Linked DNA regions of Danio rerio. The protein of the gene in region 1 binds, or shares a complex with, the protein of each later gene. Links are inferred from orthologs where the notes say so. Each region holds a gene or a part of one and is shown on either strand. Other genes may lie near its edges.

The links.
Region 2: pola2 (region 1) and prim2 share a complex: the UniProt entries of both Homo sapiens proteins name them as parts of the alpha DNA polymerase complex. The link is inferred for Danio rerio from reciprocal best matches to the Homo sapiens genes POLA2 and PRIM2.

What each region holds. Positions count from the first base shown.
Region 1 is NC_133183.1:19,039,824-19,044,201, reverse strand, and holds the start of pola2 (DNA polymerase alpha subunit B), read left to right. Parts: upstream 1-1,432; 5' UTR 1,433-1,532; intron 1,533-1,760; 5' UTR 1,761-1,801; coding exon 1,802-1,883; intron 1,884-3,018; coding exon 3,019-3,143; intron 3,144-3,843; coding exon 3,844-3,929; intron 3,930-4,019; coding exon 4,020-4,077; intron 4,078-4,378. Other genes in the region: dimt1l (dimethyladenosine transferase), read right to left, coding at 1,175-1,232. UniProt on the Homo sapiens protein: Accessory subunit of the DNA polymerase alpha complex (also known as the alpha DNA polymerase-primase complex) which plays an essential role in the initiation of DNA synthesis.
Region 2 is NC_133188.1:26,670,504-26,673,278, forward strand, and holds the end of prim2 (DNA primase large subunit), read right to left. Parts: intron 969-2,775; coding exon 756-968; 3' UTR 569-755; downstream 1-568. UniProt on the Homo sapiens protein: Regulatory subunit of the DNA primase complex and component of the DNA polymerase alpha complex (also known as the alpha DNA polymerase-primase complex) which play an essential role in the initiation of DNA synthesis.

The DNA.
Region 1 (4,378 bases):
CAACTATAGAAAAACTATGGAGACATTTACAGATGGATGTACTATGAACATAACTGGTTGTATTAAATATGAACAGAGATTTACAATAGATGAATGTGCACAGGCTGCTATTAATAATCAGAAATATGCAGATATATACAGTTGAAGTTAGAGTTATTAGCCCCCTGTATTATTAGACCCTGTTTATTTTTTTTCCCAATTTCTGTTTAACAGAGATATTTTTTTCAACACATTTCTAATTATAAACATAATAGTTTAAATAACTAATTTCTAATAACTGATTTATTTTATCTTTGCCATGATCAAGGTAGATAATATTTTACAAGACATTTTTCAAGACACTTCTACACAGCATAAAGTATTATGTTAAATAGGTTTACTAGGCAGGTTAGAATAATTAGGCAAGTTATTGAATAACAATGGTTTGTTCGGTAGACTATTGGAAAAAATATATATAGCCTAAAGGGGCTAATAATATTAACCCCAAAATGTTTCTTTTTAATTAAAAGCTGCTTTTAATCTGGCTGAAATAAAACAAATGAGATTTTCTCTAGAAGAGAAAATATTATCAGACATGCTGTGAAATTTCCCTTGATCTGTTAAACATAATTTTTAAAACATTAAAAAAAAAGAAAATATATATAAAACTCTGATTTAAGCTGTGTGAACAATTACAAACGTATATGTGCAGTGGACATGTACAATTCAAGATGAATTAGTTCAACAAAGTGCAATGAATACGTATAAATATTAAATAGTGCAGTGTTTATGGGGAGTAAGACCGACTGTTTTGCTTTGGGACATCACTGTTGTGAGAAAACTGAATATACACAGTAAACATATAAATATACTGTACATTTCCTGGTTTAATTTATAAATGTTAACTGGTGTTTTAGAGGTGCAAATACTGTATAAAATAAGTCAAAACAACTGGGATTAATTTATATACATGAGATGAATGAAAGTAAACATTTTGGACCTAAAAATAGCTATAATGCCTCCTCTTCTGTTTTGGAGTAAGAAGTGACCAGGAAGTGTTACTAGCAAGTTCTAAAAGGTTTATATTATTTAAATTTTAAATATATTACAGGTTTAACTTTGATTATTATATCTATAAGGGGACATTTGATTAAATGGTTTGACAGCATGCAGTACTAAAACATTTCAAACCAACCTTGACTCTTCACCTCCTGGTGTGTTCGAGACTTCTTCTCGGCTTTAACCTTCGGCATTTTGACAAATAATATCAGCGACAGTGAAAAGTAAGATGTAAATCACAAAAATACTTATACGTTTACAGCACCACAAACACGTGTAGAAGCTACAGGGTTTATTCTGTTTCCTTTCAGCTGATCTGGGAGGAAATTCGGTTGCGGTTGACCTTGCGCTCCCTCTGCCGTTCTGGAGGAGACGTGCAGGAACCGGAAGTGACCTTTCAGTGGGTTTTGCGGGTAGTACATTTTCGCGGCAATCCGAACGTGATGCAAAGACTGCTGAGGAATATGACAGCTGATTTTGACGTTTAATAAAAGGTAATCTTGTCATACAAGTCATTAAAACGTGTTCATTAGGATTGTCTTATTTCGAACTTGCTGTTATGTTGAGTAAAACTGTTTATAAAGCTAAATAAGTGAATTCGCGAGAGCGCCATTGTGTTTACGTTAGTATTTAGTGAGAGACTTAACATTTCTGACTGTTATAAGTCCGTTTTAATAATTGTGTGGTGTGAATGTTTTTGAAAAACCTGTTTTCTTTTTTAGGAGGTTGTTTTTTTACATTTGAACATCAGAGGACAATAACAATGGCTTCAGTCACTGCAGAGGACATCAAGTCTGAGCTGGACACTTTCAACATAGCCTTCAACAATGACACCATCGACAAAAGTAAATGTCCAATCTATTCATTGTGTGTGATTTTAGTATTGTTGACATGATTTAATGCTCTAAAATATATGCATCTCTTAATTTTAAACACACAAATATACATGTATGTGGTTGTGTGTTTGTAGGCAAGTACTTACAAATACACATTGAGGTAAATTTGGTTTTATGTTCACACATTAGGACTTTCTCCTTAATAATAATAACTTCAGAAATTATTTATTGCAAAAAAAAAACTGAAATCATATTAGCAGCAAATGACTATCAAAGTACAACATTGTTTGGAGTCAAATAAATAGTACCAGTGTTGTTTTCAAGTCATGCTTACATGTGATTTTAGACTGAATATTCAAATTACCATGCAGAGTTTTCAACTAACCCAAGTGGTTAAGATATTTTCTTGCTCTGCCAATATTTTTACTGGCCCCACCCAAAAAAAAAATAATTGCTATTTTTTTTAGCCACACATTTTAAAGAATGTGTCAAAAATAATCTAAGATGTATATATTTTTAAAATGTATTGTGAGCAAAATTCAAAGTGTTATGCAAACAAATAGAGCAGTATGGAAAATGTGCCGGTGTTTTATTGCAGCTCTACATTATTTAACAAATGGTGGCTGACTTGCCAAACTGAAAACTAACTGTGCAAACATTACTTCATTTTTTTCGTTGTGTTGTATCCACATCTGCTACTAAGAATTTAGAAACAAACGTTTTCGTTTAGCCTCATAATTTTATGCTACCGCCTCGTCGCTGAGACCAGAAACAAAAAAAACATGCTCACAACATCTAGTCACATAAGAGGACCCGAAAAGCAATATGGTGTTTTTGATATCACAGAGAAGGTAGCATTTAAAGGCTTAACAGCACAAACTGTTTCTCGATTCTAAGACTGTATTTCGACGCAATTGACATTGTCGCAGGCAAATTAAACTTTAGTAAGCACTGGTACGATTGGGCCAGTAACAATCCTGTCTACTGTCCTGAGCATTTCACACGCTGGCCTGGGCCATCTTCTTGTTGAGCCCTGCCACGGTGAACAATAAAGGGAGCATGTCACAAGTTGTCACTGAACGAATGTGCGAAAAACTTTACCTCAATTAAATACACATGACTTTTGTTTTTTTTTCTATTGTAGTGTTGGAGCAGTGTTTTTGTCACAGGCTGACGGGTGAAGAAATTGTATTCGAGTGGTTTGCTTTTAGCTCCACCAGAAAGCAGCTGCCGCTCACTCTCGAAAACCTGGACCAGTTTGAACAAGAAGTTAGTAAAATGACATTAAAAACTCCAACTGAAATTCTGCAGTGCTTTGAGATGCCAAAAATAAGATCCACAATGTTTCTATGCTTCATTTGCTTTAGAGCTAAACAATACAGTATTCCTGTATATCTTTTCAGCATTGATATTGCAATGTGTGAATCCTCAGTCACATTACATAGATATGCAATGTTGAGTTGACTTTGCGGTGTAATTTATTTTTACATTTACATATACAAAACCATAAAGCTTGCACTGTTTATTACACCTTTTTTTGCTTTGTTGCATTTATCTATGCCTGTAGTGTACTACATTTTATGCGATTTACTCCCTTTTAAAATCATCCCAATCAAACAGATATAATACATTTGTTAACACTTTAGGGACCAATTCTCACTATTAACAAATTGCTTATTAGCATGCTTGTTGTTGATATATTGGCTTCTTATTAGTTCTTACAAACAACCACAATAACTATTAATAAGGAGCAAATTAGGTGTTTATTGAAGCAAAAGTCATAAGGGTTTGCTAAGAGTGAGAATTGAACCTTAAAATAGTGTGACCAAAAAACTATTTAGTCATTTGGTGGAACTGTATAGCATCAGTGTATCGCAATGTACATTACAGACAAATAAAATATTGCAATGTCAAATTTTTCTAGGATTGTGCAGCCCTAATTTGCATACTGCTTCTGCACTCCTTACAGGTACTGAACAAGAAGAAAAAGCCTAAAAGCACCTCAAAGGGAAGCCAAATAAACAAAACCAGAGACATCAACTCCATCCAGGAGCTGTATCCTCATAAAGCTCAACATAAAGATTAATGATTGTTTAATTTTTATTCATAAATGTTCAAAGTGATCTTCTTAACTGAGTCTTGCAGAATCAGAGCAGAGGAGGAAGAGGAGAACATGCTGGATTCCTATTCAACACCTGCCAAGGTGAGACTAAATAAAGACAGAATAATGAGGGAGACTTGTTGGAAATGTATGAAGATAGATAAAAATGCATGGTCTGCAAGTGTTTTTCAGTCACAGATTAACCTCCGGTTAAAGGTTACTGTGGCTATTTTAAATTTCATAAGGTTCCTTTTACAGCATTGATGATGTGATGTATTTAAATTATAATCAGTTAAACAGACGTAAGCATTCATTTAGTTGTTCAAGTGTAAAATTGATTGGTTCGCCAGGAGCAGCAGGCTAGTGCAGAAACTTAATTAAAATACTGGGGTAACATAAATTT
Region 2 (2,775 bases), on another chromosome or scaffold:
CATTTCAAAGTAGAATGAAGGTCTAGGGGTTTAGAACAACACGAGAGTGATTCAACTATTGCCATTTTTGTTGAACAAAACCTTTTAGTACTGTGAGTGAAACTATGAGATATTTTCATTTAAACACAGCCATATTCCTACATTTTCAGCAGCCATTGCTATTCAAGTTCCACTGGGAAGATTAATGAGTTGGAAAGACACAATTATGAGTTCAATAGCACCTTTTTGATTGAACCAATATTGCAATGTTCATTTTCAAACCCATTTCTCACTGCTGTCATTTTTCTTGTGTTTATTTGATTACTCAGAAGAAAGAGAACAGCACATATACTTATATATTCATCTCAGCAGTGTTGGCGTGTTACAGCCTCATTTTACTTCCAATCATTTCTGTGAAACTATGTTTTTACAGTTGTTTTGACCAATTTAATGGATTCTTGATGAATAACAGTATACTGTTTTATATTTTTAGAAAGGCCCAATGGGTGACCTTTAACTTGGTGTGTCCTGGTTTTTTTAGATTTCAGTACTTTGTAACAAAAAATAAAACTTAAGTAATGTTATGTAATTTTAATGTGCTTTTATTTATTCTTTTTTTTTTTTTTGGTAAAAACATGTCATTTGAGAAGAATCTTATCAATATAAAGACAAGGTAAAAACAGACATATGCAAGTTTTTCAATGTTGAAAAGACAGTTTGTGTCTTAAACAGTGAATACAAGTAAGAGCCCTGTATTTTCCTTAGGTTCTACAAAATCATTCATCCTGGAAGAAGGAGTCTAAATCCCCCATCTCCTCTTGGGCCTGTTTAGGGTTTGCCTGAGATGGACGGGACGCACTGGGAGGATTTTCTTGGCTTTTTTGTGACATCTCCACTTCTTTCTTGATGCCTTGGCCTCCACCCAGAAGCTTCTGGCTCTCTGTGAAGTACTGGTTTGGATGATTGAGAGAAAACCCAGCATCCTCAACCTGTAACAAACAAACAAGACAAAATGTAAGCAGAAGACAGAAGCTCCATCCAAAAATGCTAATTAAATTTATTTGCAAAACTAGAATATCGCAATAAAGCAGCATTTCCATCCAAAGACAACAAAATAGTCACTTCCTGATTAACTGGTGCCAAATACCAACAGTAAAATCGGAATTTGCAGCAAAAGCTGCATGAATCTTTACTTTATTTAATAAATGACTTGCTCCTCACTAGACAATGCCGACATGCAATGAACATGTGGTATCATTTGAAGGTGTGAGACGCGGGGCACAGACGCTCTTGACAGTTCTGGAGGTCATTAATAATATAACACTAATACTGAATACTGATACAGTTACTGCATTTTAAAGTGACCAAAACAACATTTCAGATGTTTTACCGTGTGCTCAGATGCTGGTTTCTCCATTCACACATTTTAACATCATATAATCTCACAGAACAAAATCACATAACTTTTTTTTTTGCGTATACTGAAGTTTGTTTAATTAATATGTTTCCATCACAGTTTATGCGCATTTCTTCTTATCGAACAAAACATTTATGCTAATTATCCAGTTATGCGCAAACATTTTTATGCGCATTTTGAAAATTGATACGCATCTTGGCATTTCCATCAACTATTTTTTATGCGCATATCCAAAATGCAGATAATAATAGGTGGATGGAAACATAGCTAGTGTCTCCAGTCTCAATATGAGGATATAAACAGAGGAACTTCATCTCTATACAGTAGCTGCCCAGACTGATCTTCAAAATTATGTGTGAAAAACTTTAATATCATCAACTCAAGCACTTTCATGACAACTCTTTAATTTAAGTTTAACCAAAAATAAAAACGGATAGAAATATATAATGTATTATACACTACACTAATACTAATTATTGTTATTGCATAAATAATAATACAAAAAATTTATATATATATATATATATATATATATATATATATATATATATATATATATATATATATATATATATATATATATATATATATAAAATAAAAATAAACGTTTATTGATTTTTCTTTTAAAGGAGTAATCATGGATCGGAAATAAAGGGAATGGTTACATTTAATTTTGACAAAGCGTTAAAACATTAAACATTTAGTTTTTTCATTTAATTTTAACATTTAATAAGTAATTACATTATTTTGACAACAAATTTATATTAAATCCTAAATCCAGAAAATGAAAAGCGAAAATGAAGAAATTAATTAAAAAAAAAAAAAAAAAAAAAAAAAAAAAAAAAAAAAAAAAATATATATATATATATATATATATATATATATATATATATATATATATATATATATATATATATTTTCCTTTTTAAACATTTCCAAAATTATGTTGAACAGAGCAAAGAAATTTTCACAGTATGCCTGATAATATTTTTTCTTCAGGAGAAAGTCTTATTTGTTTTATTACGGCTAGAATAAAAGCAGTTTTTCATTTCTTAAACACCATTTTAAGGACAAAATTATTAGCCATTCTTTTTCGATAGTCTTCAGAACCATCGGTTTACAATGAATTACCTAATTACCCTAACCTGCCTGGTTAACCTAATAAACTCATCTTTAAATGTCACTTTAAGCTGTATAGAAGTGTCTTGAAAAATATCTAGTCAACTATTATTTACTGTCATCATGGCAAAGATACAATAAATCAGTTTATTTAGAAATTAGTTATTAAAACTATTATGTTTAGAAATGTGTTGAAGAAATCTTCACTCTCCGTTAAACAGAAATTGGGGAAAAAAATAAACAGTGAGGCTAATATTTTA